2 linked regions of the Drosophila melanogaster genome follow. The protein of the gene in region 2 interacts with the protein of the main gene of each other region in a pairwise test. Each region holds a gene or a part of one and is shown on either strand. Other genes may lie near its edges.

The links. The genes of interacting proteins can lie anywhere in the genome.
Region 1: the proteins of Smg6 (region 2) and Cul2 interact in a two-hybrid assay, tested with the Drosophila melanogaster proteins (one large-scale study listed by BioGRID).

Annotation. Positions count from the first base shown.
Region 1 is NT_033779.5:21,656,801-21,664,209, reverse strand, and holds Cul2 (cullin 2), read right to left. Parts: upstream 5,476-7,409; 5' UTR 5,249-5,475; intron 5,116-5,248; 5' UTR 5,057-5,115; coding exon 4,938-5,056; intron 4,371-4,937; coding exon 4,146-4,370; intron 4,088-4,145; coding exon 3,010-4,087; intron 2,863-3,009; coding exon 2,745-2,862; intron 2,681-2,744; coding exon 2,574-2,680; intron 2,127-2,573; coding exon 1,758-2,126; intron 1,693-1,757; coding exon 1,579-1,692; intron 1,522-1,578; coding exon 1,390-1,521; 3' UTR 512-1,389; downstream 1-511.
Region 2 is NT_033777.3:25,028,893-25,035,094, reverse strand, and holds Smg6 (Smg6), read left to right. Parts: upstream 1-1,629; 5' UTR 1,630-1,742; coding exon 1,743-1,935; intron 1,936-1,997; coding exon 1,998-2,368; intron 2,369-2,434; coding exon 2,435-2,884; intron 2,885-2,946; coding exon 2,947-3,326; intron 3,327-3,401; coding exon 3,402-3,544; intron 3,545-3,600; coding exon 3,601-3,736; intron 3,737-3,791; coding exon 3,792-3,887; intron 3,888-3,941; coding exon 3,942-4,739; intron 4,740-4,976; coding exon 4,977-5,113; intron 5,114-5,173; coding exon 5,174-5,316; 3' UTR 5,317-5,666; downstream 5,667-6,202. Other genes in the region: Ythdf (YTH N6-methyladenosine RNA binding protein), read left to right, coding at 1-407, 472-513; Hr96 (hormone receptor-like in 96), read right to left, coding at 6,097-6,202.

The sequences.
Region 1 (7,409 bases), on a different chromosome or scaffold from region 2:
GCTGTGGCACTCAAAAACAAGATAAAATTATTATTAACGAATTGTATTACAGTTACAGCTATTACATCCAAAATGCTTTTAAGTCGTTGAAGGCAGTTGTTTTCAGGGTATGGCCATGGATTCAGAAGCGTTAAAAAGATTTTTATGGGACCGCTTTTTTTATCGCGAAACAAATTACAATCATGTTCTACCGAATTTATCAAAACAAATTAATGTTATCAGCGACTTAAAAGTATTTTTTATTTATTCCGTTCAATGAACTAGTGTTATTTGATATAGGAAGTTAATAATTTTTATAATTAACTATTAAGTTACATATACATATTTGTAAAATTAATTAATTTACCATTATGATATATATTTTTTAGAAAAGTAGCACAAAAGAAATAAAAATGACTAAAAACAAATATAATCCACGGCCCTTGGGTATTTAATATATACAAATATTGGATTTCTTGGCAAAGGCGAAACTTAAATGGTTACTGAACATACGTACAAGGTATTGTAAATTAATAAAATCGACATTCTAAGATTAGTAAAAGAATTTAAGGGAATTTTATATTTTAAACCAAGGTCCAATAAAATGTGTGAGCAAAAACAAAAAGATGGGAAAGTCCTTAAAAGCTCTTTTAAAACAAAATCTAAGAATCTTAGCAATCTTGAAAGTTTCGAAAAATGTTTGCTTTTACACTTTCTTTGGCACTTTGACAACTCAAAGCTCAATATACGATATGCCAATTTGTAGGTGGTGGTACGCCTATTTCTACCCGGATTCGTTATTAAAAAGTACTAGAAAATCAAAAAATTATAAGAATGGGATTCCGGACAATAGATCCAGTTTTTTCCGAGACGACCAAATAAAAAGTACAGATCTCTATCCGCATACTTAAACTGCAATGCTGACTGCTTTTTGCACAGCATTCATTTATGTAAATTTGAAGTGTACAGTGGTACAGCGTTAACGCACAGGATACGAAATACTTTGAATGACATATTTTTAGACATTTTTTGGGATTTATTATACATTTTCCAGCACATTATTCTGGTTTGTGCGTGTGTTAATAAAACCAGATAAATATACAATACATAAAGAAATATATTATATCTACAATTGAATAGGACACACGCATTAAATCAAAATGGATCAACTAACTAAGCTAAATTAAAAGTATCAGTAACGTCGTTTGATTTCCACACACCTTTCATACCAATATGCTATGACCACAAAAATAACAAAACTCAAATTGCTTGACCTTTTGATTTCTTTTTTTAACATTGTAGGTAGTTCTTTTTAGACAAAATAAGCCGCTTGGTTAGCGTCAGTTGTGTGTATGGGAGGTTGTTGTCCGGGAAGGTTCTTGTTTAAGAATAAAAAATCTCTACCGCAGTCTATGCCATGTAGCTATATTCATCGCCCGAGTTCGCCGTTCGCTCAATATATTGTTTGTCAATTAATGACTCCACGCATTTCTTGATCATTGCTATGTTGGGAGTAAAGCTAACCTTCGATAAAGAGAGAACCTAAAGAAAAAATACATCATGTAATTTTAATTCACAGTCAGGTGTTTTAGATATTACCTCTTGTATTAAGGCATTGTGCTTTAAGACTTTACGCGCTTTCATAATCCTTACAATGGCGGCTTGTAGAAAGAGTTTTCGGTCCTCATCTACCGAGTTAATTGTGTGCTCAACCTACATAAATAACGTCGTTAGAAAACCAGGTACCAGGTAACCAGGTTGAAATCGAAATGCCTTACCTCCTGTGGCGTTTCTTTTTGCAAAGCCGAACTTATTTTAAACTTTGTACGCTTATTTGTGTAATCCAAATTTAATTCTATTCGAGTCTCACCGGCGAGATTCTCTGAGCTGGCATTTAAAAGCTTTGACTCGATAATAGGCTGCATGTGCTTTTGAAACGTTTCGTCGTTTAGCTGTAAGGTGTTCTGGATCTCCCGACAACTCAGACTATCACAAGTCTCGAACAGCAGTATTATCGCCATCTGGTATGTTTGCATAGTCACGATATAAGATTTTTTCAAATGGCTCAACTTTAATTCTCCATGACACATGTGATGTAGCCAAGTCAACTTCCGGCCACTAAATAATTTATGATAGTAATCCTCGAACTGAAAAATCATAACAAAGGTACAGTACACGATTAACGTATACATTTAAAATTTCTGAAGTACCTTCGACAAAGTCACACGGTTTAAGATGTATTTGGACCAAAAGAAGTTGCGTTTTGATTTGGTATGCTAAAGTACCTTTATTGAAATAAAGATACTTTTAACTTTCTATATGTCACACATTTCAAGAGAACACCTTACGATGTAGTCGTCGATTTGAAGGAAAGTTTTTTACATAAAGGTTTTTCTGTATTTATTATTATATATTATTTGTATTTATTGCTGCTTTAAATATTTATATATGTTTCTGAATATTGTTAAAAGGCCTCTCTTTAAAAATTTGACTAAATAAAGAAAGTCTGAAAAAAATTTTTTATAACTTTGGTTTGTCAAAGGCAGCTTCTATCTCGTTTTAAAATAAAATATATACATTTACGAAAAACGTACCATTTTAATAGATTTTTCAAATTCCTGTGGTACTGCAAATGGTATAACTTGAGTAGATCCCAAGGGCCACGCGCCCGCCTGCAGTACCTTAATGGCAAGGTTGATGCCTGCATAGAAATACACATACATAAAAATAAACTATCTTTAATGAATATACATTTTCCGTCTCACCTAAGTCCACATTGCTATCCTTAAGGTGAGTATTAAACTTGTTGTTCAGATCTACTGATACCGATATATCCGTAAACATGCGATGAAGTTTATTGGTAAATTCATAACCGCAGGCTTGCTGTAAGTATTAATAAAAGAAGATCTATTTAAGCTAATGTAGTTTTGTAAAAGGGTCATAACAAATTAAAACAGCATTAAAAATAAATAATTCACATTATTGCAGTTATTCACTGTGAAGTACATTTTAGACTAGCAGACCACGCACCTTCAAACGATTGATCATTCCCTCCTCCGCATCCATGCTCTGACTTTGCTCGTGGATTAGGCGCTTGGCTAACAGTCGGCTATAAAACTTTTGATACACATCCTTATCCTCGATATATTTAAATATGGTTATGTTGTTAGTAAGCTTTTGATCGATCTCTGCCTCGCAGGTCTTAGACTTTTTCAGTAGCGTATCACAGTATTTCGCCACATACTCGGCACTACGGCAAGGCTGCCGCTCGGTTGGCCGGCGATTGATAACGCTGGCGCACGCCTTGTCTAATGCGCTCAGGAATAGAGAATCGTTTTCGAAGACGTCTGCGATCAGCTCTTGGTACTTGTGATGTACCTTCAACATATTCTCTACGAACGCAATATGGATGTTTTCGCCCTTCAGCGCAGATACGGTCTGCAGACCTTCACTTTTGATGTGATCGAGGAAGGTGGTTATGAGCTCAGACTTGAGATTATCGGGTATGGGCTTTAGTACGACGTACATGTTGCGTAAGTCTTGGCGCCGCTCCTCTGAAACCATTTCGCGGCACTCCGAGTAGATGAAGCCCAAACGATCGTTAATAAACTTCTCCTCGCACTCTTTACGTAGTTTTGGCAGGGAACTGACGTGTAAAAACTTTTGGGCTCTCCGGCTTTCATATTCCAGTATCCGGATAACCTCCTGCATGTACTCCGACACTGAGCACCGATGGAGCAACTTGTTAGCCTCGTCTGTGTAGTAGGCGCCACTGGCCTCCAGCATGGGGCCTTCAAAGAGTTCCTGGTAGAGCTTAAGCGAGCCTGTTTTCTTATAGTCCTGTACCTCCACGAAGCTGTGTATCACTCCGTTGATAATTTGCACGCGATGGTGATCCAAGGTGCCATTGCTAGCTCTGTCTGCGGCAATGCCCTCGAGTATGTGACGGACCAGTTCGCTGGACAAGTACTCAATCATATACAGGCGCCAAATGTCTAGACCTAGCTCGCCAATCTCCATCTGCTCCGCAGCATCGCTTGACAGATTACCGTAGAACGATTCCGTATCGGTAATCTTTTGTTTCTTGATGTGTTGTTGATTCAGGTAGCTAAAGGAAATTAATTCCAACGATCATTGAGTTATTACAGACTTCGATGCATTCTTACATGTACAATTGGTGCAGATACTTGATACCCTGGCTATATTCCATCCAGGTGATGTAGTAACGCTGGAGAAGGTCTGGGCCACCATTGGAATGGGAGCATTCTCCCTCGATCAGCACCTTTTTGGCCAGCATCTCCTGGACGTGCTGCTCAAGAAAGTGTTTTGTTTCGCCATAAAGACGATCAGCCATCGGTTCCGGCTGCGCCACGCACAGTGTGTAAACGTCGCTATATGTTAAAGGAATGTGATTGGAAAGACAGATGTATTAGTGCTCGTTATTTTAGAAATTTTATTTTGGCAACTCACGCTTCACACATATATACGAACAGTTGCGGTCAGAATAAAAGCAGCCTGCGTTACACTGTTTTGATTATTAATTTTAAAAAGATACGTCATCGATCTATTTAATATTTACTTGAACTTAGTTTAACCTTTAAGCGGTCAAAATATTTAAATTCAAGCTAGAAAACAGGCATTTATTATTAAAACTATGATTGCATTTATCAAGATTCTACGACATTTACCAAATCATTTTCGCCTCGCTAGCAGCTATATTTGTGAATTTTGCTGTTGAATAAAATATATAGTTGAACCGCTAGGTACTAGTACATTCATAGTTTACCAACTCAAATGCAAAATAATGTGATTGAAACCATTACTTATGTTGGATTAATTTAAAAGTTAGTTAGTGTTATTTGTGTTTCTTCTGAGTTGGGTAACTTTGTAGTCTCTAGTGACCTATCACAATATCTCTCTCCAGGCTGTTTAATACTCCGACCGTTGCCAAGACGTACCTGAAGCTAGTATTCCACACCGAGCGCTCCACTTTGGTGAGCGTTATCACCGACTCGGCGATGCAGCGCAGGCGCGGCCAAACATCGACAAACTCCACTATTTTGGGCTTGAGCGACATGTCAAATGGGTCTTAGTCCTAATCCGTGGTCCGTCTGGATATGGATTTGGAAGGGTTTTCTGATGGGACAGGGTGCACGCTAATTAGAACGCCGACTGATTCTGCCTTCGCAAATATAACAATGGGCGACCGAGCGACCCTCATGCGTTGGCAGAGACCACTTCTGCTTTGCTTTTTGGCATAATCGCTTACTTTTTGCGTGGGGGCCACCAGGCAAATGGCCTTGTCCTCGAGCAATTGCACAGCAGGCCAATTACCGCTTGATGGATCGTGGAGGGGCGCGCTTGCGACCTACTCACCTGCTGCTTAGCTACGCTATTTACTAAATAATTACGCCGAGAATTTAGTTATTTTTGCACTTTTTTTTTGGTATCGTGAAATGGTTTGTCAGACGAAGACGATATCGATATAATCTATCGATATTTGAACTCGACAAAAAATTCGATGTAAAAAGAATGTCGTGTCTCCACTACCGAAACGTTTGCTTTTGTTTTGATCTTAATTTATTGTCAACGCCGATCCACTGAACAAATTTTTTACCTTCCTGCCTAAAAACTGGCCAAAGCCATTTTCTTAAAAAACTGTAAGTGCACAAACCTAAATTGATTTCATATGTGAACTGTAATAATGTTAGGATTTTTTATGATTTTCGTTTTTTTCGATTGCTTATACGTATTGCTATTGCTCTCGAGTGCCAACCTTTTTGTTCAAAAGAATATACATTTTCAAAAGATTTCAAAAGTGAGTTAAGGGTTATGCCTTAAAGGTAAGTGTATGATCTAGAAGAATGATCCATTTTGTACAGACCGAGTTTTAAAGGTCTAAACTGTTAAGTGCCTAGATGTGGCTTTCGAAAAGGCAAACAGAGATACATACAAAAAAATACAAATACAAAGAGATAGATACAAAATAAATACATGTTTAATTACTAAGAAAATATATAAAGGCTAAGATAAACAAACGAAAAAACCATTAAGCTTAAAGAAACAAAAATTTACAAAATGTATAGCTCAAAAAATCAGAAAGTCTCATATTTGTCAATGGCTAAGATCGTTGAGCGCCAAATTTTTTTAGTTGTCTGTTGGTTGTCAGTCGATTGGAACTTTTTTATCCACCAAACCGGAAATTTACTCCAAAGAATAAATTGGAGCCACATCCACCGTAGCCGCCGGTGATCAATACTTGCAACCTTCCATATGCGCCAAAAATTGGCACATCGCCTACCACTATTTCCAGCCTTTGTAGCTTCCAAAGGCCATCCACACATTTCACTTTGACCTATCCAATGTAGCAGTCGTCGATCCAAGTGTGATACCATATACTGATGGAGAAATGGATTGAGATGTAAATGATGTAAAAAATAATTAATATATATACCGAGAATTATTTAAAGAATTCGGACTCCGATTTACCAAAAGGTGTGATGTTCTAAGCATTTCAAAACATTTAAATTTTTTGTCTTTGTGTTCGCTTTAACATTGCTTACATTTTCAGTGTTGTGAGACGTCGGTGGTTATCGACTTTAGTGTTTAGAGCTGTGGCATGGGGGGTACTCCAGCCTGAGGAAAGCCTGAGCCATCAGCACGGCAGACGTTTTGTATTTATTTCTTAATCGTTATTTGGAGGTGAATTCCAAAAAATTAAATAAACTTCAAATTGCACGGTATCTTAAAAATGTTGTAATTTCATTATTTGTGTAAAAAGTTTGATTACAATTTAATCCACAGTTTTCGTGGAGATATAATTTTTCTGTGACTACACGCTTTTTACATGCATTGTTTTCGAAACTGGGATAGACAACAGCCAACATATGTAGATACATGTAAATTAAAATTTAAAATTTATTTATCTTATCTTATCCTTAATTTGAAAATGTTCACAATCTCGTCCGGACTTAGACTGATTTTCTAAATCTAAATCCTAATCCACTCAACCTAGAAATTTTTTAGAATTTTCTGGAACTTCAAATATGTTTAGGATAAAAGCTTTATACTGAAATTATTTCACAGCATTGTGAAATTGAAATTTTCTGACTGGTGTTTACTTTAAGTTTGGTTATTTATCTGCTGCTGAGATTGGAGTTTTGAATTTGTATATCAACATGTACGTGGACAACTTGTATATGTCGCAGATCATTTAAATGTAACGACATTTCTAGTAATTGCCTTTTCTATTCTTTTGATGCGCGGCAGAGAACCGTTAGAGTTTCTGGTCGCGGGTAGGAGCGGGTGCAAGTAGATTTCTGCAGGAATAACGGAAGCGTACAGAAAAATGCGGTGTGCACTAGTGCGGACTGGAGTGGGTCTCCAAAATGTGTTGGCAATGCGTGTAGAGTTAAGAATTACGCGTAATT
Region 2 (6,202 bases):
ATGGCAACAACCACGCGCCTGCCCCACTCGCCCGCAGCTTCAATCGCCAGGCGGACGACAAGGACAGGGATCGCGACGGACGCGGCGGCATGTCACAAAAGCACTTCAATTCTGGAGGAGGAGCTGGTTTCCGTAATCCAGGTCATAGGGGTGGCGCCGGCAGTGGCGGATCACACAACAATTACAGCGAGTATCGTCGAGGCTTCGACATTCATAAATCAAGCAGCGACTATCAGTTCAAGGACCGCGATGGCCCGGACTTTGACAGAGAAAATGACTTTGGGTCCCACTACGGGTCCAATAACCGAAAAAATGAATACAAACACAATAATACGAACAAGGCCAGGTTAAAAACCCGAGATCGTGACTTTAGTACTGAACAAATTAAAATCGGCGTGCGCTTTAAGGTGGGTTCATTTGCATCTAAAGATTTAACAATTAACTAATTATTGGAATCGAATTTGATTGCAGGACACGGACAAGGATAAAATGCGAAGCAATGAATATTCATAAATTTACTGAGCTGCTGCGGTAGAATTCTTTTTTAAATGATATTGAATGGACTCCCACAATCCGTTGAATTGCTTAGAGACGTTAAATTATAATTTTTAGATTTTTTAACCATTGCGTGTACAAGATAAAATCCCGATTCATGGCGAGCATATATAACGAACATGTGGGATCTAGGATTAACGATTAAAGTATGATAACATTTTTACGTAATTATTTATTACAATATTTATATAAATCTATTGACGCTCACATTGAACAGTTCATAAAAAAATTAATGATCGATTTTGCCGATATATATACAACATTTATAAACACCAAGGAGTCTGCTTCAGCCATTCCTTGTAGTTGCACTGTAACAATTTATACAACTTATTTGAATCTAAAGTGTACACGACTTATGTATGTATAATATAATTAAAGTAACCAATCCATCAATTACTCATTGACTAATCTACCAACATCTCTCGACACATAAATGCGCTATTTGTAAGAGATTGATCAAAAACTTACCTTTCCAACCAGCTTAAAATAGTATTTTCTAAATAATACTTACACGTAAAGCAATATGGGCCGCATATTATTACTTTCACAGCGCTATCCAATAATTATACGTTAGTGGAAGACTGAAACAGTATAATAAACGAAGTCATGTACGTAACAAAATTAAACCCAACAAAACATGCAAACATAAAGCGAACTCATACTCAAACTGCAACGACTTTTCTGATTCGATGAGCTATTTTTTTTAGTTTGAAATTAAATTTAAATAGAAGGCTAAATGAGAGGCAGAAACAATGGATCTTGGTTTTGTGATCTGTGGCGAATGAAATGGGTAAGTAATGTTCTGAGGTCAAAATGAAAATTAAGAATTCTCCATGCTTAAATGTACCTTTAGAATTCCATTTCATACTGGCAAATTGGTTATTTTGTCGCTAAAATAGAAGTGCAGATAGTTTATCTCTATATATTTTCAAAAATCAAGCATTCCGGTCAAAAGAAATCAATTCTAAAGCAAACGTTGAAAATCATTTGGCATTCAAATCTGGCGCCTAAAAAATGCGTATGTCAGCAGTCCAAACAGCATTGTTAGCGGTCTGGTCACACTCATCCGCCTTGGCCACCGGTCACACTGCTGATCTAAAGATTTTTCGAGGCGTAATTTACACTCTACACATTTGACAAACTTCCAAGAAAGGAATAAATGCAACAGCAAAAGCATCGTTTAAAATATGAGTCGAAAGGGAACACGAGAACAAAATGATATATCGCTGATAATTGGGACGCTGCCGAAACGCCTGCAGAACAAAATCGCGGCCAGCTGCAGCCACGCAGCAGCAGCGGCAACAACAACAAAGGCGTTGGAGACGGAAAACGCTGAGAATGCGGAGCCCGTGGCTACGACAGCAAATGCTTCAAGGCCAGGTGAGTGTTTGCATGACGCATCACAATAGGTTCGTCAATAACATCTCTTAATTTCGCCACAGTCGAAATCCTGAGCAATGCTAGCACAGGAGGAGGCAAACCCGATGCCCAGTCAAAGCAACCCGTTTTGGATACCAGCGGGAAAATGGCGTGGGAGGGCGGGATTCCAGGCATCCTGCGCGTGACCACCTCGGTGGCGGGCGATGTTAACAGGAACGGACAGGGTCAGGGCAAGAACAAGAGCGGTAACAGTGCTCGGCGCAGGGGTCGCAAGGACAAGGAGCACGCTACGCAGTCGCCAGTGACGCGCACGCGCTTGACCACCGAGCATCCGGATTGGTTTGAGCCGCTGTTGGGTCTGCCCCATGCCAAGAATATAGTCCATCTGTACGATCAGCTCATGGTCCTCAATCAGAGGAATCTCATACTGATAGTAAGTATATATAGCTGGGCAACAAAAGCCACCCTCACTAAACAAACATCATGTAATCTCGCCCAGAACTGGAAGAACTTCTGCTACATTCACGACCAGCTGCAGGACGCTTTCAAGCAACTTCTTTTGGAGCAACTTAAGTTCGTGTGCGAGCACAAGGTTGATGTCTTCTTTTGGAAACTACTCTTCTACAATGTGCGGAATTACTTGAAGCGCCAGCAAACGGACCAGGCGCACACACATACGCTCCTTTTGATTGAACAGGCCATTAAGTTTTACCGCATGCTCTACGACAAGCTGATGGCCAAGTGCGTGGCATCGTCGCGCTGTGACAGCGCACTTAAAGTGGTGGCCCAGAGGCTGCTCATCTGTTTGGGCGATCTGACGCGCTACCGGGTTAACCATGTCAAGGCCACAGATTACATGGAGGCGGCCAGGTACTATCAGAGGGCGCAGGAACTGGTACCTGGCAACGGGGCACCTTTCAACCAGCTGGCGGTCATTTCCATTTATCACGTAAGAAAAAAAGCTACACAGAATTCTTTATTGTGGTTATAATCTTTATATTTCCCCTTTAGCACAAGCGCTTCGATGCAGTTTATTACTATGTCCGCAGCTTGTTGACTTCGAACTCTATCCAATCTGCCAAGGAAAGCCTGCTGGATTTGTTCGACGAGATTCGGCGTAAGTACGAGGAGACCGAGATGAAGCAATCTCCCATGCACTATGCAGCTGGATCGAAGAATCAAAAGTCGAAGCAGATGCGCAAGGAGGTATGGATCTATCCGGATGGGATCAGACGCCTACATCGCACCGATGACAAGGGCAACAAGGCGAAGGGCAACAAGGCCACTATGGCAGAGGTCAATCGTTACGAGGAGATGCCGCCGGAGGAGATTCTTCCTCGCATTGTTTCCCTTTATCTGTACTTATTAGGCAAACTCTACACCGGCACAGAGTGAGTATATTCAACTTTGATTTTAATGTGAAAGTTGAAAACCGATAGGTTACTTAACTTTCGAATTGATTACAGTGTGGACTCGTTATACCCGTTGCTAAGGAAACTGCAAATCCAAATAGGCGTCGCTTTAAGGCACGAAAACCTGTTGTCACGCTCCAAACTGCTGAAAATAGTAGCACTCAACTTGTTCGTCGTCGAGCACAACAAACCCAAAAGTATGAATGATAACGGCTAATCGTGGTAAAACTTAATGCTTTCTATTATTGTATAGCGTCACGCCGCGAGATGCGTTATCACAGCTTCAATTTTGCCAACTCATTCTTTGGACTCATGATGAAGAAAACGAACCAGCTGCTGGCTGGTTTTGTAGAGGATTCTACAAATGTCCAGTGTCTCCCAGAAGAAGAGTAAGCTAAAATTCGCCTTGTTTATTTATTATTGCTAATTAATCTTTTATTTCAGCTTTGCGACTGTGAACACATACCTACAGTTCGTGAATGTTTATGTACGTTGGTTGAGCATCAGTTTGGACGTGTGGGAACCCGTCAGATCGGAAGAGTATGTATAAATTGAATGCCTTTTATTAGTTTTTCATTAACTCCAATATTGCAGACACTCTTTCATCGATTGCTGGGCTGAGCTAACAATCCTTTTTGAGTACATTGAATGCTTAATGGGGAAGCACAAACTTGAGAAAAACGAAATACTGTTGGATGAGGATGTGGCCCTTAGAGGTTTCACTCCGTTGGGTCGTGAAACGCTGAGCATGGACTATCTCAAAAGAGGATCCGAACGTCTTCAGTTTTTCGAACGTGTTCGTAGGATTGGTCAGTTCCAGGAATACTACGTCCAGCATCAAGAGGCTCTCCAGCAGCCGTTGGAATCAAGCTTCACTGTCGAGCACCTAAACGCAGCGATGAAGAACGCATTGGAAAACTATGATGCTGAAAGTTGTGGTCTTGCGGCGAACGTTTCAAAGATTCAATGTAAAGCCGTTGAGGAATTGTTGTGTCGTTCAACTGATTCCGATGTTTCCGAGCTGTGCAAGCTGAAGAAAGAGCTTGAGGCCAAGGCTAGGGTTAAGCAGATATGCACCAGCAAGTTGGAGGACATTCTCAAGTTCGTGGACACGAAAATATACATCGAGGTGCGACCGCGCTATCTTCTACCGGATACCAACTGCTTTATCGACTGCCTTGAAGACTTTGAAAAACTGTCCACGGAGTTTAAACGCTACACACTTATTATACCACTGACAGTGGTTAAGGAACTGGATGGCCTCTCCAAGGGCGTTAAGTTGGACTCGTACCGCAGTTCGAAGCAGACGCAGCGCATCCACCACTTTGACGAGGTGTCGTCGCGGGCCAAAAAGTCGTTAGAGTTCATCAAGTCGGCCAAAGGCAATGTGAAGTAAGCTATTGTTAATTATATTCCGCGCGTCAGCTCATAGTTCCTTTATTACTGATATCTGATAAAGGGTTTACTAGCGATTAGCTATTTATAATTCTGTCTAATTCATTGGTTGCTATTGAGATAGATAAAAGTTTCCTGATAATGTATTGAAATTTTACTTTTAAATCAGTAGTAATAGTTGTTCAGGAAAGCTTTTCCTGCTGATCAATAATACCTTATTGATTTCTTTTCTAGATGTGCTACCACAAAGGGCTCGTTTGTCAATGCATCGGTGTTTGCCCTAGTTGAGGAGGAATATTTGTCCAATGACGACAAGATTCTGGCAACGGCAATGGCTGTCTCGAAAACGGCAAAAACCGAACAATGCACAGGTGAGCTGCTTCCGTTAAATGTCCTTCCTGATAGCATTTCTAACTAAAACTCTTTTGCAGATGGCAAGTGTTTCATTCAAACGGAATTGGTGCTCATTACAACCGATCGTAATCTGCGTGTGAAGGCTCTTTCTCGCAATTTGGCCGTCAGCGCGTTGGATGAGTTTCTGCAATGGGCCAAGGATTGCCGCGAATCAACCTGAAAGCCGATTTGCGCGGCGAGTGGACCGGATAACAATTGGAATGGACTTGCACGACGCACATTGGTGGTGCGGAGCGAGCTCGAGCTATTATATTACCTACATTATACATAAATGACTATGTAAGACGGGGTCGGCAGATGCGGACACATACGCTGGCTGCGGATACGTACACGACGTGGATTTCTGAGGACTGGTCGCGGGTACACATGCGCGGTTGCTGTGGTGTTTCCCCGGGTTGATGCTTTAACGAAGCACATCTCTCGTTGGTTTCCAAACATCTTATTTGTTTTTTCCTACTTCGAATTTTTATTTTGTGACTTTCGGAATTAAATTATTTTGGATTGTTGTTCAAAATCACTCGTTTGCGTAATTTGTCCTGGAGGGTTCGAAATTCATTCGAGTAGAAAAGAATACGAGACATTTTATTACCACTGGTTCTCAAAGTCAGTTTATTTTTTTTGTCTTTTTTCCTTTTTGCACAGAACCCACGCTTCCAAGTTAGTTATTGCATTATCGTCTAGTTTATTTGAAACTAGGTAAACGGTGTACATTACATATAGATTGTGTTGCTTTGCACTTGGTATCCTAAATATGCTCTCTTTGATGTAGAAATATAAAATCTATGCAGTATATGCAAATCTAACAATCACATTCGATTAAAATCTAACATTACAAGCGACAAGATAAAACAGACATCAACAACAACAACAACTACAGCTTGTTGACCATTCATCATTGGGCATCAACATAGGCATTAAATGCCCGACACGCATCGGTTGTCTAGTGATTTTTCAAATCGAATATTTCACGCAGCAAGGGCTCCACCTGGGATGGGTTAACATTCAAATAGACATTAATTATGAACTTGTTCAGACGCTCCACATCT